2 linked regions of the Cricetulus griseus genome follow. The protein of the gene in region 1 purifies or fractionates together with the protein of each later gene. This does not show direct contact. Links are inferred from orthologs where the notes say so. Each region holds a gene or a part of one and is shown in the gene's direction. Other genes may lie near its edges. The genes, in order: Ppp1r15a and Eif2s1.

What was found.
Region 2: the proteins of Ppp1r15a (region 1) and Eif2s1 purify together in Homo sapiens (affinity purification with western blotting; 4 studies listed by BioGRID and IntAct, with this or other methods). This does not show direct contact. The link is inferred for Cricetulus griseus from reciprocal best matches to the Homo sapiens genes PPP1R15A and EIF2S1.

What each region holds. Positions count from the first base shown.
Region 1 is NC_048599.1:154,420,859-154,432,256, reverse strand, and holds Ppp1r15a (protein phosphatase 1 regulatory subunit 15A), read left to right. Parts: upstream 1-3,751; 5' UTR 3,752-3,972; intron 3,973-4,501; 5' UTR 4,502-4,510; coding exon 4,511-6,025; intron 6,026-6,444; coding exon 6,445-6,702; 3' UTR 6,703-6,806; downstream 6,807-11,398. Other genes in the region: Plekha4 (pleckstrin homology domain-containing family A member 4), read right to left, coding at 279-362; Tulp2 (tubby-related protein 2), read right to left, coding at 7,290-7,423, 7,640-7,811, 9,130-9,228, 9,329-9,443, 9,926-10,038, 11,194-11,398. UniProt on the Homo sapiens protein: Recruits the serine/threonine-protein phosphatase PPP1CA to prevents excessive phosphorylation of the translation initiation factor eIF-2A/EIF2S1, thereby reversing the shut-off of protein synthesis initiated by stress-inducible kinases and facilitating recovery of cells from stress.
Region 2 is NC_048598.1:124,776,399-124,787,939, reverse strand, and holds the start of Eif2s1 (eukaryotic translation initiation factor 2 subunit 1), read left to right. Parts: upstream 1-5,608; 5' UTR 5,609-5,767; intron 5,768-8,223; exon of another isoform or gene 8,224-8,354; intron 8,355-10,815; 5' UTR 10,816-10,816; coding exon 10,817-11,057; intron 11,058-11,541. Other genes in the region: Atp6v1d (V-type proton ATPase subunit D), read right to left, coding at 509-626, 4,996-5,036. UniProt on the Homo sapiens protein: Member of the eIF2 complex that functions in the early steps of protein synthesis by forming a ternary complex with GTP and initiator tRNA. This complex binds to a 40S ribosomal subunit, followed by mRNA binding to form a 43S pre-initiation complex (43S PIC).

The sequences.
Region 1 (11,398 bases):
GGTGGGTCGAGGTTTATAGACTGCAGAGTGAGTTCCCTAGTCCAGTCAAGGGTAGACACCTCCTCTCAGTCTAGGTTTGTTTGTTCTTCTGGCTTAAAGTTAGGAAGACTGAGAGGGGTGGGGACAGAGCTGGGGATGTCTCCAAAATTCCCAGCTGCAGCTGGAACCAGTCTGGCAGACCCAATCACTAAGGGTCCGTGTGATGGAACAGCTAGGAAATGGGACTGAACTGCCCTTCGCCCCCTTCCTCCCTATCCCACTGGGAAGTGTGGAAGGACCTTGGTGCTCCGGCTGCTCACAGAAGATGTGGTAGAAGCGCTGCTGGCCAGGCTCAGGCTGCTCCGGGGGCGGCCCTGCTCCATGGAGAACTTTGGGAGAAAGAGAAAGGGGCTGTGTCTCTCCGCTGATGGGGGCTGAGGACAGATCTGGGGTCAGGGCTCAGGTCGGAGAATGCTGAGGAGAAAGAAACTGTTGTTTGGGAACTGAGGGACTGGGGGAGGCCATGGTCAGGGATCGCATACCAATAGTAGTGCCAAGAGAGGTGGGTGGCTCTGGCAGCTGTGGGGAGGGGGCAGCTGTTTGCAGCAAGGCCATAAGAATAGGGGCTCCTTTATTCCAGCCTGCTGAACTCTGGCTAGGAATGTGACCCCCTGTGTGCACAGGGATTTTACTCCTTGCCTCCTTCAGGGTGCCCTGGGCTACCTGTTCCTTTCTTCTCTCATGAACCCCCAAACCATCTTTGTCAGCTCCCCAAGACAATTCCTAAGACACCAGGAATGAGCATCCAGGCAAGTCCCTCCCAGCCCAGCCAGGGACTTACCCAGCTCTGGTGTCCCAGTGACAGGTCTGCCACCTTTTTACGTCTCAGATACTGCCTCTCAGGGCTGCCTCTTCTCACCTGATGTATGACTGCTTCAGCTCTGTCTTGTTTATGAGTTCTTGCTCACTCACGCTCCTCTCTGTCTCTGTCTCTGTCTCTGTCTCTCTCTCTGTGTCTCTCTCCTTGTCTGCCTATATCAACCGTTTCCAGTCCCTCCTCTTACCTTACTGCTCCTGTCTAACTCTCCCCTCCCTCCCGTCTCTATCACCCCCTCAGTCCCTCTCTCCACACTCAGTCTCTTTCGCCCCCACCAAACACATCTGTTTCCTTTCTTCTCTTTCAACTTCTCTTCCTCACTTTCTCTCTTCCTCTCCTGGTTTCTCTTTCCTCTCTGCTGGGCTTTCCCTCTCTCTGGCAGCCGCCCACGCTGCTGCCTCCCCTCCCAATCATGGCTATCCCCGCCTCTTCTGGCCTCCCCACTATACAGCCTGACCCCTGGCTCAGCTGCCCCCACAGCTAAGGAGAGGGATTGGGATTCTTCAACTCTTGGCTATCCTAAGCTGTGTCTGGGACTCCTCAACATTTGGAGCAGAGACTTGAACCCCAGGACACCATGGGTTTGTTGTTACTTGGGGTGCTGAGCTATGGTTCCTTCAAGAGAGGTGTCCTGGGTCATTTGAAGAATGGAGTCTCCTATTCCTGAAACCTTGGAAAACTGGGATACAGCCTGGCTGGTGGGTGCCTGTGAAGGTATGAGCTATAAGTCCGACCTCAAGGACTGTACACCCATGTCCAGAAGGCCTTGACTAAATGAGGCAGTGATCGTTAGCTCCTATACTGGAAGGAGGGGACCATAGTCCCAGAGTACTGGCCTCTGGCAAGGACAGGGTTAAGTGGCCAGTTGGAAATTTCTCCCTCAGATCAGACTGATAACCCATTAAAAGGGAGGTGTGGTGACTTCATACATTCTGAGGAATATGGCTGGGCTGTAGATCAGAGCTTGAAGTGTAGCTCCAAGGGAGCACTGTCCAGTATGTGGGAGGCCCTGGGATCCACCCCCAGAAACACCACACACACACACCCCCACACACACACGTATACCACACACACATCGCATACACCACACCAGGCAGGGAGAGCAGTGGAGATTGGAACTGGGTCTCTGGATTTTTACATCTACATCTGTGATTTAAGCAGAGCCCCACCCCTACCAGAGTACAGTCCAATCAAAATTTCAAATTGCACAAACAACTTTTATATAATTTTGAAGCAGTGAAGAAGGCAGATGCCTGCCTATGAAAGTAACAAGTCTGTTTAGCAGCGTTCTTCATACAGTATTTATTGAGGTCACACTTGTAACCTCTCTACCGGGGAAGCTGAGGTAGACCTACTGAGAGTTCCAGGATAGCCTGGGTTGCATAGTCAGTTCCAGGCAACCCTGGAATACAAAATGGGTCCCTGTCAAAAGACAAATAAAACAAAGGAAATAGAAATAAATCTTTTTTAAAAAGAAGTCTCCACTGAAGACAGGCATTGGGCTGGGGTCACTGCTTCTCTATACACAGTAGGAAGATTGCCCAAAAATCAAGGTTGGCCCGAGTAAGTTCCAGGACAGTGTAGACTAAACTGTGAAACCCTGTCTTAGACAGACAGAGACAGACAGACCCACACACACAAAACAACCAAAGGACTAGAAAGATGGCTCAGGGCTTGAGAGCACTTGCTGCTCTTGCAGAGGACCGGAATTCAGTTTCCAGAACCCACAAGGAAGTTCACAATCATCTCTAACTGCAGCTCTACAAGATCAGAAGCTATCTTCTGGCCTGCTCGTGCATCACATTCGGAGGTCCACATATACACACACACATATACATGCATATATTTTTTATGAAGGGAAAACACTCATACACAAAATAAGGGAAAATATTTTTTTTGAGACTATGTCTCACTATGTAGCTCTGGTTGTCCCAGAACTCACTATGTAGATCAGGAGAGGCTCCAAATCAGATCTGCCTGCTTCTCCCTCTGAGTGCAGAGATTAAAGGCATATGCCATCATGGCTCACGAGACAAAAAAATTTTGCCTGGCGGTAGTGGTGCACGCTTTTGATGCCAGCACTCGGGAGGCAGAGGCAGGCAGATCTCTGTCAGTTCGAGACCAGCCTGGTCTACAAGAGCTAGTTCCAGGACAGCCTCCAAAGCCACAGGGAAACCCTGTCTCAAAAAAACAAAAGCAAAAAGAAAGATAAAAATTTTTTTTCTCATGTAGACTTGGACAGTCTGGAGCTAGCTATGTAGTCCAGGCTGGCCTCGAACCCACAGTAATCCTTTCTCTGCCTCTTTAGTTCTGGGATTAAAGGCGCGCACCTCCGCTGCTGGCATTTTAAAGTTTTTTAATAATAAATAAAGCTGGGTGGTGGTGCACGCCCTTAATCCCGGCACTCTGGAGACAGCAACTGGAGGATCACTGATTTCGAGGTCAGTCCTTGTCTTTCAAAAAACAAATAAAAGAAATAGAAACAGAAATTAATTGGGCTGGTAAGATGTGTGCCAGCACTCAGGAGGCAGAGGCAGGCGGATCTCTGTGAGTTCGAGGCCAGCCTGGTCTCCAGGACAGGCTCCAAAGCTACACAGAGAAACCCTGTCTCGAAAAACAAAAAACAAGAAAAAAAAAAAAAAAAGATGTGTGCCTGGCTGAGGAAGTGCAGACGCTTGCTCAGAAGTGATTCGAGATTGACAGCTCGCAAGGTTTGGGCCGAGGACACGCCTGGAAAAGTCGCAATGACGTCACAAAGCCCGGAATTTCCGCGAGAAGTTCGGTGTTGTTTCCCTGTCCCACCTTTCCCGGAGCTTCCGAAGCCCCGCCTCTCCGGTGACGTCAGCAGGTCTCGCCAGGCTATAAAAGCAGTGTTGCGGCTTCCGGCGCAGATTGAGCCAGTCCTCAAGCTGTGGAAGATTGCATGCGACACCCCGCGCGCCCCCCGCATCCCTTCGTCGGGACGCTCCCTGCGGCCGTCTGTGAGACCTCACGTCCCCGAGCCCCACGCCTGAGGGCGACATGAACGCTCTGGCCTTGCGAGACCTCCGGACCCGAGACCGCTTCTGGCCACACGAACCGGCGCTCCTGCCCCCGGGGTGAAGCGCAGCCCGCCGGTGCGTGGGGAATGGGGGAGGCTGCGGAAAGTCCCCGGGTCGGAGAAAGATGCTTCCTTTGATCTGAGAGAAGGCAACCCAGGCCTAGATGGGCCCTTGGGTCTAAGGAAGGCAGAATTTAGACTGTCCACGTAAAGGGAAGGGGGCCTGGATGCTAGAACCGCAGGACCTGTATAGAGCTGGGTAAAGGGAAGGACTCCCGGAGGAGTGGCCTGGGGCCAAGAGGTGGGCAGAGGAGGTTTTAAGGGCGTGAACATATATGCCTGAGGGGAGAAGGGTCCTTAGAAGCCGGATCACAAGTCTGAAGAGGGCTAGGCAGGAGTCTTTGACAGGGCTGAAGAAAGGGGCTTGTAGGAACGAGGCCCCAAACTGTAGGGTGTAAGAGAGCAGCAGCAGGTGGTGGAGGTGGTGTGAGCAGGGCTATTAGGAATTTGAGGCATGTTAGTACTGTGACTATTTATATTTCCGTGACTCAGAGCTGTGGTATGATATTTCCAGAATGGCTTCTAAACAATTCCCCCTTTTATAGCCCAGACACATGGCCCCAAGCCCAAGACCCCAGCATATCCTGCTCTGGAGGGATGCCCACTCCTTCCACCTCCTGTCTCCACTGATGGGCTTCCTCAGTCGGGCTTGGAGCCGCCTGAGGGTCCCGGAAGCCCCAGAGCCCTGGCCGGCAGAAACAGTAACTGGAGCAGATCAGATAGAAGCTGATGCTCATCCGGCACCTCCCCTTGTTCCTGAGAACCACCCCCCTCAGGGGGAGGCTGAAGAAAGTGGAACTCCTGAAGAGGGTAAAGCAGCCCAGGGACCCTGCCTGGATGTGCAAGCCAACAGTTCCCCTCCTGAAACTTTGGGACTTTCAGATGATGATAAGCAAGGACAGGATGGCCCCAGAGAGCAGGGAAGGGCACACACAGCTGGCCTGCCTATACTGCTGTCTCCTGGTCTGCAAAGTGCTGATAAGAGCCTTGGAGAGGTGGTGGCTGGAGAAGAGGGAGTGACTGAGCTGGCTTACCCCACATCACACTGGGAGGGTTGTCCATCTGAGGAGGAAGAGGATGGAGAAACTGTGAAAAAGGCTTTCCGAGCCTCTGCTGACTCTCCAGGGCACAAGTCCAGCACTTCTGTGTATTGCCCAGGGGAGGCAGAACATCAAGCCACGGAGGAAAAACAAACAGAAAATAAAGCTGACCCCCCCAGCTCTCCTTCAGGCTCCCACTCCAGAGCCTGGGAGTACTGCTCTAAGCAGGAGGGAGAAGCCGACCCAGAGCCACACAGGGCAGGGAAGTATCAACTGTGTCAGAATGCAGAAGCTGAAGAGGAGGAAGAAGCCAAGGTTTCATCTTTGTCTGTGTCTAGTGGGAATGCCTTCCTGAAGGCCTGGGTGTATCGACCTGGAGAGGACACCGAGGACGACGATGATAGTGACTGGGGATCAGCTGAGGAAGAGGGTAAGGCCTTGTCTTCCCCTACCTCTCCTGAACATGACTTCCTGAAGGCCTGGGTATATCGACCTGGAGAGGACACCGAGGATGACGATGATAGTGACTGGGGATCAGCTGAGGAAGAGGGTAAGGCCTTGTCTTCCCCTACCTCTCCTGAACATGACTTCCTGAAGGCCTGGGTATATCGACCTGGAGAGGACACAGAGGATGACCAAGACAGTGACTGGGGATCAGCTGAGAAAGACGGTCTAGCTCAGACCTTTGCCACCCCCCATACAAGTGCCTTTCTCAAGACCTGGGTCTGTTGCCCTGGAGAGGACACAGAAGATGACGACTGTGAGGTTGTGGTCCCAGAAGATTCAGAAGCAGCTGACCCAGACAAGAGTCCCAGCCATGAGGCTCAGGGTTGTCTGCCTGGAGAGCAGACAGAGGGACTTGTGGAAGCAGAGCACTCTCTCTTCCAGGTGGCCTTCTATTTACCTGGAGAGAAGCCAGCACCACCTTGGACTGCCCCTAAACTGCCCCTTCGGCTGCAAAGGAGGCTTACGTTGTTGAGAACCCCCACCCAGGATCAGGACCCTGAGACTCCTTTACGGGCCAGAAAGGTGAGTGGGTGCTAGGAGCCTAATGGAGTCTTTCCTGTGGTAGCTTAGGGATGTACAGTCCTAGTACTGGATTTGCAATTGGATTTCACACTGCTTTTTTCTTTCTTTTTTTTTTTTTTAATATATAATTTGTACAAAAGGTCCAGATTCTGAGTCAGGAGGCAGGGCCTGGGACCTGAAAATCCCTTATGGTGGAGACCTCAGGGACCCATGTGTTGCAACTTCTTACATGGGAAGGCTGTGTTCACCCTGTTGCAATCGCCTGTAAGAGGCAGGAAGAGTGATAATTGTGGCTCATGGCAGCACAGACATGTCAGTGAGTCAGAGGGACAGTCAGGATGGCAGGCAGGTGACTATTCCAAATAACAAGTGTTTTCTTGTGACTAATTTTTACTTCTTGCCTCTGCCCATCTGTCCAGGTGCATTTCTCTGAGAATGTCACAGTCCATTTCCTTGCTGTCTGGGCAGGACCAGCCCAGGCTGCCCGACGTGGTCCCTGGGAGCAGCTTGCACGAGATAGGAGCCGTTTTGCTCGAAGAATTGCCCAGGCGGAGGAGAAGCTGGGTCCTTACCTCACCCCTGCCTTCCGAGCCAGAGCATGGGCACGCCTTGGAAACCCATCGCTTCCTCTAGCTCTTGAGCCCATCTGTGACCACACCTTCTTCCCTTCCCAGTGAAGCCCCTCCTTCCAGCCTGGACTGCGGTGGGAGGCGTGGCTAAACCCAAGACGTTTCCTGTTATTTATTTTAATAAGAAATAAAGCCTTTTGATTTATACAATTCTTATGTGTGTACTCATAGTATCCTGCTGGTGTATCTTCAAGGGAGGCTAGAAATGAGTTCTGAGACCAGCCTGATCTACATAGTGACTATCTCAGACAGGTGTAAAGTGACAACTAATCCCAGCACTTTGAAGCTGAGGCAGGATTGGCTTGAGCTAAGGCAGACATAACCTATGGAGAGTGGTAGATACAAGCAAGGTATAACGACGTGTATGAAAATGTAATGAAGCCCATTATTTTGTACACTAACTAAAAAAATTTCAAGGTTTATTAAAAGACAGGCCAGGCACAGAGGTGCATGCTTGTCATCCCAGTACTCCGGAGGCGGAAGCAGGAGGATGGGGTGTTCAAGGCCAGCCTCAGCTACCTTGTTGGAGGCCAGACTGAGTATCAAAAAACTAAAAAAAAAAAGGGGGGGGGCATAGTGTGAAGCTTTCTCCAAATGCACAGGACAGAGCTGGTGAGGGATGGTATTTTATTCAGTTACTCACACGCCAGTTTCCCATCGAAACTGGATAAGCAGATGGCGAAGGCTTGGAGCGGGCAAAGAGGATATCGGAAATCCATAGTGAATATGTTTGGGGCCACGCGGCCGAACTGGAGAACCAGGTGGTCCGCTGATGAGCAAAACAGGAAATAGGACTTAAACTCCTGCCTCCCACCCGCGCCACCTTTACCAAGCTGGGAAATGCTAGGAGCCTTATGGACTACATCTCCCAATAGGCCTTGCGACAGCGAGGCTCTCGCCCCGCTTAGGAAACCGCCCAAGGGGTGGTTCTTGAGTGGCCGCTTTCTTCCCGCAAGCCCAGGTCTTCCGGTTGCTAGGAGCTCACGTTCATCCGGGTGAACAATCTGGAAGTTCTTGACCGAAGCCCGAGTGACGCGACCGTGAAAATTGAGCACGTAGGCGCCACTCTCGTCGCTCCAAGATGGGGCCTTGTTCTGCAGTAAGAGCAGCCCGTGTCTAGCACCCTTTTGTAGGCGACTCAATATCGAATCCTGATCCTTGAAGATACAATAGGGGCATCGTTTGTTAGCCCACCCGCAACCTGCTTTTTAGTTCAGATGCACAGGTTTTATTTATTATTTATGTATTTGTTTATTTGAGAGAGTGTCTCTAGAGCCCCATGTTTCTTTTTGTGTGTGTATTTTTAGAGACAGGGTTTCTCTGTAGCCCTGGCTGTACTGCAACTAGCTCTGTAGAGCAGACTGGGACTGTAATTTTTTTTTTTTCTTTTTCTTTTTTATTTTTGAGACAGGGTTTCTCTTTGTAACAGTCTGGCTATCCTGGAACTCACTTTTTTGACCAGGCTGGCCTCGAACTCACAGAGATCCTCCTGCCTCTGCCTCCCGAGTGTTGGGATTAAAGGCATGCGCCACCAATGCCAGGAGAGTTTTGGAATTTCTTATCTCCCTTCCTGTGATGAATTCCATATTTCCAGAGGTAAATTTTAAATATGCATTTATGCAAAAATTATTTATAATGTGCAGATTTATAACCACACACAAGTCATTATGTATAATCTATTGTACATTTGTTGTTAGTCACGGTTTAAAGTACCCAAGCTTAAACTGGGTGGTGGTGGCGCACGCCTTTAATCCCAGCACTCGGGAGGCAGAGGCAGGCGGATCTCTATGAGTTCCAGGCCAACCTGGTCTCCAGAGCCAGTTGCAGGATAGCTAGGAAAGTCTCAAAAAAGGAAAATTAACAAATTAACTTCGGTTAAATATATGTGTGTCTGCATATGTGTACTGTGTGCATGTGAGTGCAGGTGTCTTCACAGTCCAGAAGAGGACATCAGGTCCCCTGTAAGCCACAAGGGTACTGGGAACCAACTCCAGAAATTGTTTTTTCTTTTGAGACAGGGTTTCTCTGTGTAGACCCAGCTGTCTTGGAACTGTCTCTGTAGACCAGGCTGGCTTCAAACTCAGAGATGTGCCTGCCTCTACCTCCCTCCTGTTGGGATTAAGGCATGAGCCACCAATGCCAAGCCAAAAACTTTTTTTTTTTTTTAAAATACATGGTCTCACCATGTAGCCCTGGCTGTCCTGGAACTTGAGATGAGGCTGCCTCCAACTCACAAGGTCTGCTTTTCCTGTCCCTCTAGGTGAGCAATGCATGCTCTGGTAATCACTGAGCCATCTCTTCAGCCTTAGGCCCTGAAGTTTTGAGTCTCTGGTTTTACTTTTTAAGACAAGACTCTGGCAAAGTTATTCAAGTTTCACATGTGACCTGCAAACCATTGCCCCACCTCAGGATCTGTGATGGCTCACCCTGACCATTCTGCTCTCTGCACTGTGACTCCCAACCTTAAAGACTCACATTTTGTGGCTGCACCCTCATCCTCTGCTTCCGGCTGTCCATTCCTGGAAGGATCACAGTCATTTTCCGAGGTCCCCGGAACCCCAAGACATTGGTTTCCTGGGAAAATTAATTAGATTATATTCCAGCTGGCCTGGCTCCTTATGCTTTCTTACCTATTGGCACCCCCATTCATTTCTGCCCCTGCCAGGATACTTACATAACATACAACTCCCAGCTCCTCTCTGATCCGGGCACTGTCTGGGATCCAGTAGTTCCGCTCAGGGTTCACCCCATTATCAAAGATGGTGAATTTCGTGCCCAAGACGTTAGATCTGCCCCAGGAGGGCAGTGAACAAGGTAAAATGGCCATAATGGTGATTTTTACTCTGTTAAGTGCTTTCTCAAACCCATCCTCTAAGGAAAAAAAATCACAGTCCCAGCCCTCTGTTTCTTTGGTATCATTCTAGCATCCTACATTGACTCTTTGGGAATCCTCTTCCCTCTAGCAAGTAAGAACTCCCACACTCTAGACCTCTTTCCCCACAGGCACTGAGGGTTCCCAGCCCTCTGCCTAGCAAAAAGCTAAGCATCCTAAATGCCAGCCTGTGTTCATGGCATCCAAAGCTTTCGTTGTTTTGGATGTTTTGTTTTGTACTTCCACGGCTGGGAAGTACAACCTGCAGAACTACAAAAGCCATCAGGCTTTAGTGCAGGTCTTGTGCTGTGCATGGCAGCATATTGGGAAATGTAGTTCATGTGCCTATCTTTCTCCGGGCTTCCGAGGAGCACCACATAACAAGAAGGCTTAGCCTACCTAACTTTGCCTACAAAGTTGTTCCCATTTCGAGACATGTCTTTGGGGTCCAGGGAGATGAGATAATTTGAGGTTTTGCTTCTTTTCCTTTTCCGCCCAGCCAGAAGGAAATGCTGCAGACCAGAGAAGAGACGTCAGGATTGATTTCTGATACCTGTCTAGAGCCAGGGTCCTGACACAGCTCTGAATATGGGAAAGGCTGTTTCTGGAAAAGATAGAGGCCACACACTGGGAGAAGACTGGGCATATGGAGAGGAGTGTGGCTTAGCTATAGAATGGAAATGCTTTTTTTTGTTGTTGTTTTTTTTTTTGTTTTTTTTTTGTTTTTCGAGACAGGGTTTCTCTGTGGCTTTGGAGGCTGTCCTGGAGCTATCTCTTGTAGACCAGGCTGGTCTCGAACTCAGAGATCCGCCTGCCTCTGCCTCCCGAGTGCTGGGATTAAAGCATGTGCAACCACTGCCTGGCTTTAGAATGGAAATGCTTTGAAGGGCCTACCTAGTTTATACTAGGATTGGGTGGGGTTTGACCACCAAGAAGACTAAGTTGGGAGGCCAAAGAAGGGACCCGCTTATCTCCAGGCAGAGGGAGGTGTGGTAGGTATGAACTCATTCTGGAATGGATAAGGCTTGGTTATAGGGTAGGGAGGACCTAAGCTACTAGCTTCTGAAACTTTGAAGAACTGAGGTAGACGGGGCTGAGAGCTTATAAGTCCTAACACTGTGACACAGGCCTGAGTTCAGAAAAAAAATTTTTTTTTTTTGTTTTTTTGAGACAGGGTTTCCTTGTGTAGCCCCAGGGTGTCCTGGAACTCACTCTGTAGACCAGGCTGGCCTCACAGAGATCTGCCTGCCTCTGCCTCCCAAGTGCTAGGATTAAAGGCACACACCACCACCACTCTGCCAGAAAAAAAAAAAAATTGTTGGAAGGGTGTCACCTTGTTTCCCTGGCTGTCCTGGAACTCATTTAGGAAAGGGCTGCCTTCCTCTGCTTACCAAGTGTGGGGAATAAAAGGCATCTACCACCACCACCTGGCCTTGAACTCCTTTACCTCCAAGGCTGACCTTGCTGACTGCTCTCCTGGTCCTGCCTGCCACCATTTCCCAACTATTATTAGGATTATAGTTTTATGCCACTACATCTGGCTTCAGAAATCTTTAACCATGTTCAAAAAGGGGAGTGACATGCTTCTCAGAGTTGGGGCTTGTTTCCCTTCCCATCTGCCCCTCCCCAGCGTGAAGCCTCCCGGCCACCGAGGGACCGGAGCGTACTGCCACACCGTCCTCCGCCTCCAGGTAGAGGTAGTAGGAGGGGAACATGCCCTTGTCCACGCCATGCTTGTTTCGCACGATGCGGCACTGCACCATGTGGTCTCGGGGTGCAGGTAACAGCACATAAGCTTCCATGTCCTCCCCGAGCCGAGGGCCTGGAGTTCGGGGCAGGGGACAGGTCATGTTCCAAGTATTGTGGTTGCTT
Region 2 (11,541 bases), on another chromosome or scaffold:
ACTGAGAGACGGAAGAACTGCCATGAGCTCAAGACCATCCTGGCCTACAGAGTAAGACCCTATCTCAATTTTAAAAGGACTAAGAGAAAAGCATTGTAGTCACAGAACACAAGGAAAGAACCTGAGGGGGCATTAGGAAGAGCACTCTACGTGAGATCAAAGAGGCAAGTGGCTCTGTAGACATGTGACAGAGTTAGATGTTATAATGAACTCTTTGCAACTTAAATCCCTGTGTGGACGCATGCCAGCAGTTCTCTATTACTATGCCTATTATAAAGGGTTATTATTTCTGATAGGCGAAAACTTGATTTAAACAATGTAAAGAAAGAACAGGAGGTAGATATTTACCTCAAATGGTAAGATGGGTATTTAGCATACATAAGGCATTATGCCCAATCCGAGAGGGGGGGGGAGGGAGTGGAGGGAGAAAAACTTTAAGTGCCAAAGGCCATGCTTGATTTTCCCTAGACGTAAATAGATATCCTGTTCTAAGCAAAGTTTATCCTACCTCTATTATTTTCTTCAGGATCTGTCGAAATCGAAGAGTTAAGGCATCAGATTTTTTCTTCAGGAGGTTTCGACCAGTCTGTGCTCCTTTTAACCGAGCTTTCATGATGGTCTGTGCCCTACAAAAACAAAGAAAACGCATTTATTGTTAACATTTAAAAGACACAAAAATACCTCCACAGCAGATTTATGTGCTGTCTTACAAGAACAAAGAAACGAATGTTTTTGTTCAAGTGAAAATAACAGACCTACCTACAAGAGACCAGAAATGGCTTTCTTTGAGAAATGAGGTTTCGAGAAAAACCTCATGATCTTACTTTTCTACTACTGTATTTTATGGTACATTCTACACCTTATCCACAATGATGCATTATATTTCTATTACTGGCATGGTGTTAAAGTGCTTCCCTGTTATAAACCAAGGCCCTGTTATCAGCTGATTATTAACTTTTTAAATGTGTCCAGTAACAAATGCAAATATACGACCTGTAAGTGGCAAGCTAACCTTGGAGTGAAGCCTCCTAAACTTAGTGCATTTTTTTCCTCACCAGACGTTCTAACCCCGAAGTAAAAGTAGCAGCCTAAAATGATACTGCTGTTTTAGTTGTCACATGACAGATAAAATTTAATAGTGAAAAGGTGTTTGGGTAATGTCTCAACAGATTGCTCAGCCCAAACACTAGGCAAAATAGCATGCATGTATCAATGAATCTGTGGGCAAATCCTCTGATTACTAAAAACTTTCACTAAGAGGTTAAAGTAACTGGTAATTAATTCTACAAATGGAAAAAAAAAAAAAAAAAAACTTCGACTTTAACTTTAGGAAAGTGGGACTCAGAAAAGTAGAGCAATTTCCCCACAGTTACTCACTGAAGAACAGGCAGGCAGGAATCTGAACCAGATTTGATTCCAGAACCTGCCCAAGACTCAAAAGAAGGCTCCAACCTCAGTTTACCAGACCCCCCATTCCACACTGGCTCCCCTGAAAGATGCTAAATTGCAGCACCAGAACAGTTCTCCATCTGAAAGGTAGTTAGCAGTGGGTGGTTGCAGAGACTGGTCTCACCAGAGGCCTAATCCAATGAAGCTGCTTCAGTTTCCAGCCTGAACAAGAGCCATCCACACCAATGTGTACACTGAACATTCTGCACTGTTGACACTAAATACCAGAATTGAGATTCAAGATGGGGTGAAGGACTGACTGGGAAGATGAGTCAGTGTGTAAGAGCACGTGCTCTTCAAGCATAAGGAACCAGTGCCCAGGTAGACAGCCGGGCAAGTCTGCATGTGCCTGTAACCCCAGCAGAGACAGACAGATCCGAAGAGCTCCCTGATTAGCCAGTCTAGTCCAAACCACAAGCTTTCCAGGGAGACTGTCTCAACACAAAGTGGGGAAAGCAATAGAAGACATAAGACATCCTGTTCTGACCTCCACACACCCACACCCAAACCCCCACACCCACACCCCCCACCCCCCCCCACACACACACACACACACACGGAGGGGGGAGAGAAAGTTGGACACGATTTAGGTTGATTGTAGCACTACAGATACCTACAAATTTGGAGCTCATAGATGAACTGACTAATAAACTAAAACTTGAGTTCACTCTAGATGTCTGTACTTCTGTGAATAGGAAGTTTTCAGTTACTGAGCTTCAAGAGCAAATGAGCTGAATATGAAGTAGTGAATGCCTGTAATCCCAGCACTTGAGGGGTAGAGGCAAGAAGACTAGAAGTTGAAGGTCAGCCTGGGATATATACATAGTGAGTTAGAGGCCAGCCTAGGATACATAAGGCTATCCCACAAAAAAAATAAAGAAAAAGAAAAAGAAAAAGAAAGGGAAGAAGAGGGAAAAAAGGGTGACTTGTCCGAACATTTACAAGAACCTAGACTTTACCTGACTTTTATTAACTCTAAGTTTTTGTGCCTTTTTTTTTCCCCCAGCTTGAGACAGGGTCTCATTTATCCCAGGCTGGTTTTGAATTCATGACCGTGACTCTGCTTCTTGAATGTTGGCCTTAAAGCATAAGCCACCATGCCCAGTTTTATGTGGTACTAGTGGCTGAAAGCCAGGACATTGTGCATTTTGGCCAAGTGCTCTACCATCTGAGCCACATCCCTAGGCCTTTTGGGCCTCCTTTGTTTCCACCTAAATTTGTTTCATTTTCTCTAGTGATACCTGAATGAAAGCAACATTCCACAGACAACAGCACCAAATGTATGCAAATAGAGTCACAATCAGTACTGTGTGATCTAGCCTAGAGCTGTTAAGCCTGTTCCTTTCTGTTACAGAGCTGCTCAGCCTTAGAAGAAAAGAACAAAGAAACAAGAAGTATGACCTTCAGCTAAAATAGTGACTTTGTCTCCTGCTGAATCAAACACATCTCACTGTATGACAAATAACCTGCTGTCAAGCTGTGGAAAAAATATTTACTTCCTACACCCGACTTCCTCTAGACCAGCTGAATGTTCTCAAATAACAGTTTTCACCCTCACACAACTATCCTTTTTCTTGCCTAAGCCCAAAGAAGCTCCTAGTCCTAAATTAAAAGTTCCAAAGTGATAATAAAAACGCATCAGCATTATGAATAGTGATTAAATATGGCCAGACATTATTTGAAAGAGTGAGACCACTGACAGCAAGGCAAAAAAAACAAAAAAACAAAAAAAAGTGAGCTCCATTCTGGTACATGAAGATATGCCTGGGTGTTTTAAAGAAGATGAAAAATGAAAATCACTAAGATTGGTGAGTCTACCCCTGACTGGGTCAGCTGCATCTGCTTGATGACAGACAAATTAGGATTCTAGTCTCCCACAGAGACACAGAGACATCATCCTTCTGGTCCATTGCCTTTCAAAGAAGGGTTCTCTTAGGTCCCTGACACATGATTTATACAAAATATATATCCAATTGGATATACCCATTAATATATGTTCTGTGGAAGAGAGGTCTAGGATCAGGTGTTAGCTGACACAAGTATTTACTTGTGTCAGCTTTGAGTTTTGTTTGCCTCAGGCAGCAATGGTTAATTTTACTTTTGAGGAGTTGGAGGATTCAACCCAGGGCCTTGTGTGTGCTAGGCAAGAACTCTGCCACTGGTTTCTAGAAGCCATGTTGGTGTCTCAGTAAAGCTTACATTACATGTTGAGTTTGGAAATCACCCCCTAGGGAAGTCTGGATCTTTATCTGTTTCACAGGCCTTGCATTTCTCCACAACTAGCCCATTTGTACAGTTAGTACAATCTGCCATTTCAAAGTCAGTGAGGTGAAGGCTAAAAGGGTTTTTAAAAAAATTATTAAAGCCAGGCGTTAGTGGTGCATGCCTTTAATCACAGCACTTGGGAGGCAGAGGCAAGCAGATCTCTGTGAGTTTGAGGAAAGCCTTGTCTACAGAGCGAGTTCCAGGATAACCTGCAAAGCAATACAGAGAAACCCTGTCTCAAAAAAAAAAAAAACCAAAATAATAATAATAATTAAAAGTCTTTCACTCATTCAGAACTACACATGCCCTGGCAGAGACAGAAATTCAGTCTAAGGTTTAAATATAACTAAAGAGTCTTCGGAGTCTGTGAGGAGGAAAGAAAAAGGATGAGGAAAACATTACAGTGTCACACACATACCCCACCCACCCCAATACAGAAGCTCAATGAAAAGACCTATAGATCAGAGTAAAAACTGACTTCCTTTTTCAGAAACAAGAGAACACAAATAAGAACAATCTGTAAGTTATTATGCATATTTGAGGAAAACTTCAAAATTTCCTTTACAAACGCCATTTTCCCCTGACAAAGCTGTCAGACCAAAACAGAAAGGCAGCCTGCAACTGAGCTGATCCCAAGGCGGGGATTCAAGGAACATTTCTGTGGACCTCCTATGCATTTAAAGATGCCTCCCTCATCCAGGAGATAGCTCATAGATTGGTGGGAGAGAAGATCCCACCACACAAATATCCGATTGACAACGTCTTGAGTGACACTGCTAGAGGTAGAAAAGAATACAGTTATCACGAGGTTGAAGGGGTGCTTCGGGAGCGCGGGTCTGTCTGTTCCCACGGCAGGTGACATTGGACGGGATCCAAGATTAAAACCGACAGCTGTGCTAGGTCGACTCATACAATGCCACTTCGGCTTAGGGGCTGTCTATACGCTTCCATTCCGTCTGACAGCTTTGGTCAAAACCACCTTTGCTTCTCCGTCTCCCCTCAGCACTGTGAGGCAAAGATGGTGATGACTCAGTTATGTAAACTGTGTGTGGGGAAAATGAGGAAAGCCCAGCAGGCGGACCCTCTTTCGTTTGGACTGGAACCACACTTTCCCCAGTCTGTTCCCTCAGGAGGAGCAGACGAGGGGGCAGAAGGACCCTGGGGGAAGCTCTTGAGCGGCCCAGAAAGCAGGGAAGCTCGCTGGCGGCCGAGGGCTCGCAGGGATGCGCTCCGGGAAGGTGTTCCTGACCCTGGAGCCACTTGTCCTATTCTTTCACTTACATTCGCGACGGGAAGATTTCAATCCGGTCTTTGCCCGACATCCTAACGGTGACTGTTCGGCTCGGGCCCCCAGCCGAGCAATCGTGACTGCAACACCGCCAGAACTGGCTACCACAGCGTCCTCCACCACGGGAGTCAGCTGACGGTGTCACTTGACCCTCTCGCGTTGCTAAGAGGCTACGGAATACCGGTCCCTACTTCCGGTTCCTACTGCGAGAGGACTGAGAGGGAGGAGAGGGCTGGACGCGAGGGACGCCCGGATGTGGAGGCGCGCACAGCCCGGAATTCCGGGTCCCTCCACAGCCCCTCCCGCCGGCGGCTCGCCGGTGCAGGTTGCAGCATGCTCCGAGTGACGAATCAGAAGATCACGCCCCTCCCCTTCCTCGGCTTCCCGTCTTTCGTTACAGCGCCGTCTGTCGGTGGACTAAAATTTAAACGTAACCATTCTGGAGCAAGAAGCCGGCTCTGTCCTCTTCTTTAAGCCCTGCAAGTTCTCTCCGCAAAATCTACCGAGCGCCGAGGACGCGGATTTTTCAGGCCGCCCTGCGGTTCACACCGCTCGCATTTGGAGGACCACGACTCTATGGTCGTGGTGACGAAGGGCCTTTTCTGTCGGCGCTTGCGCAGTGAGAGGCGGGGCCGCATGCGCGCTGGGCTGAGCGAAGCGCACGCTGAGGAGGTTCGGCGTCCGGGGCTGCTGTGCCGAGTCTCTTCGTTGCCATTAAGGAGCGCGGCGTGGGACCCTAGTTCGGGATTCACACCTACACCGCAGGTGACTGGCCCCGCGCCTCGCTCTCCCCGGGAATTCACTTTCGTTGTGTTCCGTGACAGGAGTGGTCGAGCGAGGCTAGGCCCCAGGCTATCAGCCCCGGTCCCCGTCCGTGCGCGGGAAGTGCCCGGACCCCGTGGTCCCCGCCCGCCGGTTCTTCCCTGGGTCTTCTCGCCGGTCGGGTGTCTAGTGCTGCGAACCACAAACGTGGGTTGTTGGGGCGGAGGGACCCGCGGAGAAACGTGGCCCCTAGATTCTTAGACCTTCTGGCGGGGAGGCCTCGGGGGGACGCCGCGACACCCCAGCCTTACCTGGCTCGGGACGATTGGGCGCTTTGCTTTTACCGGGCCTGGGAATTTGGACTTTTTTCCACCCTCCTTTTCCGCCCCAGGATACACCAAAACTTTCCCCTGACTCTGTGGACACTGAGGTTTTCGCTAAAGAACCAGTAGGATAGGTAGATCACCATGTTTAAGTTTTTTTTTTTTTAAAGCAGGTTCAAGGTAGTCCATAATATGACCATTAAAGTTGAAGATTGTGAAGTTTTCGTTCTAGTTATGCGTTTCGGGAGCGTGAAATCATCCCTGGAATTGAAAGACCAGGCCATATCGGGGCTTACTGGCCCTGTTTTTACTACTGCCCGAAGAGAACTGGCATCTTTTTTAATTATGGAAGCTATAAGCCTGGTATTAAGGCAAATTTAGGATGCTTCCATTTTCATTACGGAAGAAAAGGCATTGTTTCTTGAAGAAAGGGTGCATCCCCGAAGTCTTGATTTTTCTCCTCATTAAGTTGCTGTTGTGAGGCAGGGAACTCCACTGTTCTCAGCATTACATGAAATAGTAGTGCCTTTTTTTCAGTGCTTATGACGCAGGATGACAGGCGCTGACTCTCAGGAGGTGTGGTTGTACTGGTAAACTTCAGAGCTGAACAAGTCCTTTCCCAACACAGTTCACTTTATTTTGGAGTACTCATTCCTGTGTCCACTATGGTGACTTGACACTGTACTGGCTCTAGAAGACAAACCTACTGCTAACGGGCAAAATACTGATAATGTAAAGTATTTGAATTTAACTTCGAATTTCGGTAATATCTTTTTGGGGGGAGGGGCTTTTTTTTTTTTTTTTTTTTGGCTTTTTTTCGAGACAGGGTTTCTCTGTGTAGCTTTGGAGCCTATCCTGGCACTCCCTCTGGAGACCAGGCTGATCTGGAACTCACAGAGATCCGCCTGCCTCTGCCTCCCGAGTGCTGGGATTAAAGGCGTGAGCCACTGATGACCGACTTTTGTTTGTTTTTGTTTTGTTTTTCTTCCCCCGAGACGGGTTTCTCTATAGTTTTGGAACCTGTCCTGGAACTCGTTCAAGACCAGCTGGCCTCAAACTCAAAAGTGATCCGCCTGTCTCTGCCTCCTTAGTGCTGGCACTAAAGGCCTGCACCGCCACCACCACCTAGTGTGTTTTTGTTGTTTGTTTTTTACATCAGAACAACAGCCTGTGTGTGCCTGTAATCCCAACTACTTTAAAGGCAGAAGTGGGATCTTGAGTTTGAGGGATGTGCTTTAATCCCAGCACTCAGGATGCAGAGGCCAGCACTCTGTGTGAGCTTGAGGCCAGCCAGAGCTACACAGTGAAAACCTGTGAAAAACGGGGTGGGGAGAAAGCCTAACCTAGTCTCATACTGTGATATGTTGAGGCTTTGTGGATAAAAGACACGTCAGATTTAGTGTTAAAAGACTTGGATTTGGCCGAGCGTAGTGGAGCACACCTTTAATGCCAACACTCTCGAGGCAGCGGCAGGTAGATCATTATGAGTTCGAGGCCAGCCTGGTCTACAAATCAAGTTCCAGGACAGCCCGAGCTGTTAAACAGAGAAACCCTGTCTCAGAAAAAAAAAGAAAAACAACAACAACAACAAAATCCTGGGTTTGATTCCTGTATTTTTAGTGCTTATGTATTTGTCCTTGAATCCTTGAAGTTATTTAATATTTCTGCTCTCTGTTTGCTGTTATTCCTTCTCTGGTTTTTCATAGCACCTTTTGTTTGTTGTCCCACTAGTACTTAATTCCTTAGGGAAGAATTTTTGTGTTAGTATTGTTTTGTGCTTAGTAGTGACTGCCTAAAAAAAGTCTTAGCAGGTTAAATTGCAAAATGAAAAAGTCAGAATACTTTGAAAATATGAAAAGGACTGAATAAATTATTGATTTCTGTTTCATTGACAGAACAAGTATGGGCTTTAAAAATTGTTTTTTAAAGTTACGAACATTTCATAAAGTGATTTAGTCAGCCAATGTGACAAGAATTCCTTTGTAGTTTCAGGCTACTTTCTACTGTAAGTAACATACCATTCGCAGTGTTCCTTTGTTTATTCTTTATCTTGGGCGAAGGTTGTGCCTGCTAAAGTAGTAGCTATATCTCCCTTCTGTGTCCTCTTACCCTGTTCTTTTGTTCTTTAACCAGCAGATTAAGCCAAAACATCACCTTTACTATTTGGGAAAATTTGTTGACTAATTAGAATTAACAGCTGTTAAATCTCCTTAAATTGTTCCACTTTTGTTTATTGAAAGTCTGCTTGTCAAGTTCTCCATATACAGGTATTTGAAAACATTTGTACCCCTACCCTTAAGAGAAGCTCTGTTTAAAAATGAAACAACTGTTTCCAAATGGGTAAATCTAGTTGAGTGTCGAATTTCTTTTGTTTACTAAATCCCTGTTTTGTTGAGCTGAAAAATGAGTCTGCCACATGTTGCTTTTGGTTAAACAGTGCTGTTGGTTCTGTCCTAATTCTTAGACCTAATTTGTGATGTATTTTCTAACACTGAATATGTGTATCAGTATTGCTTTTTGTTCAAGTTAGATGTTTCTAGTTATTATTAGTTTTTTGAGACAGGGTTTCTCTTTGTAGCTTTGGAGCCTATCCTGGCACTCACTCTGAAAACCAGGCTGGCCTAGAACTCACAGAGATCCACCTGCCTCTGCCTCCTGAGTGCTGGGATTAAAGGCGTGAGCCACTGACGCTGGCGTGGTTATTTCTTAATACTGTGTCCAGATTTTAAGAGCATAAACCTGCTCAAAATTTAATAGGCTCAAATCTTGACTTTCACTGCACATCAGGAGACTGAATTTCATATGTATAAGCAAAGAGCTTTTTATTCAAGCTTGAACTTGGACCCTATGTCCATCCAACATAGTGGTGAGGTCAGAGTCCAGTTGGGGTGGGGTTTTTATCATAGCAGAAGTTGAGGGTGAGGGGATTTCTAAGGTTCAGGCTTACATTTGTCTATGGTGTCTTGGTGAAAGGGGGGATGTGTTAAAGACATCTGGTGATCCTATCTATAATGGTTCCAATGTTAGGTGTTTTTTTGGATAATCTGTTCCTGGATATTGCCTGGGTGGTCTCAGTTTGTGGTCTTTCCTGGAACCAGGTATTGCTTTAGGGTAAACTGAAACTCAGGCCTACTCTTTGGCTAGTCACTCCATTGACCCTGTCATGGCTGGGCCCTACACCGGTTAACAAGAAAGTAAGTTACTGAAATTTCACAATTATTTCCTTAGGCTTTTAGGTGCTATGTACTACCTATCTTTTGGGCTCTGACACAGTAAGTAGGTTATGATTAATAGGAAAACATAAAAGTCCTCAGCTACAATTAAAGTTTGAGGACTTCCTTTTTAAAGTATAGTGCTAACTGTGGTGTGATTTTTCAGCATATAGGTCACTAAAGAGATGGTGCTGGAAACTGGGTGGATCAAAGAGAATAATTTTAGGTATCTTTAAAGGATGGGGATTAGAAGACACTTGAGCTGTGGAGATTTATAAAGCAACTCACAAGACTAGGCATATTTGTAAACAAAATAAAAATAGGACTGGGGTAAAGCTTGGTGGTGAAGTACTTTCCTAGGATGGGCAAGACCCTAATGTCTCAAAGTATTGGAGAATAATACAAGCTAGAAATTATAATGACTGAATTAAATTGCTTTTTTTAAAAGGAAATAAATGAATATGAAGTCTTTTTTTTTTTTTTTTTCCTTCCCCAGAGACAGCATTTCTCTGTAGTTTTGGCTGTCCTGGAACTCTCTTTGTGTGTATGCCAAGCAAGAAAATGAAGTCATTTTTATTTTGTGGGTGTTGTGCTTGTATGTATATCTGCACTATGTGCTTGCAGAGGCCAGAAGAGGGCATCAGATTCCCTTAAATTGTACTTGCAGATGGTTATGAGCAGTCCTGTGGGTGCTAGAAACCAAATCTGCATTTGCTGGAGGAGCACCCAGTGCTCTCAGCCACTGAGCCATGTAGCCCCTTCCGTTGTTATACTGCAATTTTGGCTGCAGTGATAATTGACTAGAGGTGCAGCTCATGAGAGCAAAGAATTGCTTCATGTGTAAATAGAAACTCAGCTCAGTATGCAGCATCACAAAAAGTATTGGCTATAACATTTACCACATTGGTTAAGGAGTAGTCTTCCCTTGGTATGCTGTGTGGTAGCATATGCCATTTGAGCCAACTTGGAGACAGAGTAGCTTAAGAATGTTAAAACCGTGTTATAGCGATGCCTCCTATTCCATGATATTTCTTAAAATGTTGGGTGATGGTTTATTATATTTTGGGGGTGGTTTTGCTTTGCTTTTATTTTGAGATAGCATCTAGCTATATAGCCCAGGCTGTCTTCAAACTTGTAGTCATTTTTGGCTGAACCTCGGGACTTCGGGATTACAGGTGTGCACCACAATGCCCTACTTAAGTGGTAATATTAAAATAGTGTTTTACTCTTGACATATTCCTTTAATCCTCAGGTTTCACATCACTTTATAGATAGTCATTATTTTTTTATTGTTCCTCTAAAATGATTGCTTAAGCATTATGAAACTATGGAGCAAATAAAAACTAAACCTTGGTTCCTGGGTATCTGTCCATTTTCTGACATTTAAGACATTTAAAGAGATTAGGAGACTAGTGTCTACTTTCCTTTGTCGTGATTGTCAGGGTCTTTGAAATAATTTTTGCCCTAACTTGACTATTTATGTATTTGTTTGTTTGTTTGTTTGTTTAAATTGCAGAATGCCAGGTCTAAGCTGTAGATTTTATCAACACAAATTCCCTGAGGTGGAAGATGTAGTGATGGTGAATGTAAGATCCATAGCTGAGATGGGAGCCTATGTTAGCTTGTTGGAATACAATAACATTGAAGGCATGATTCTTCTTAGTGAATTATCCAGAAGACGTATCCGTTCTATAAACAAACTGATCCGCATTGGCAGAAATGAATGTGTAGTTGTCATTAGAGTGGACAAAGAAAAAGGTAAGTGAGAAAAAATATAGCTAAGAAATATAAATTATAAAACTACAGAAGTTTCCTGTTTAAAAAATTTACTTAAAAGTATATATTTTATGGTTTAATTTAGCCATGCCATTGTGAACATACTGTATTATGTATTACAATTATGCATGACTTTATTTATGAGCTAAATAAATGAATGGGAAAAAAGTACATATTTTAAAATGCACTGTCATTAAACTACTAAAATTCTTTTGTACATGAAGTTGTTAAAGATGATTTTGGAAGCTGAGAAGATAGCCAGTCACTTAAGTGCTTGATATGTAAGCTGGAGGAGGCTGAATTCAATCCCAGAACCCAAACAAAAAAGGCAGGTTTGGAGGCACAGGCTGGTAATCCAACCCTGGAATGTTGGGAAATCTGAGGATTCAAGACCAGCCAGCTGAACTTACTAAGTGAGTTGCTGGCCATCCAGAGATCTATCCCAAAAATCAAACTAAAGAGCTCC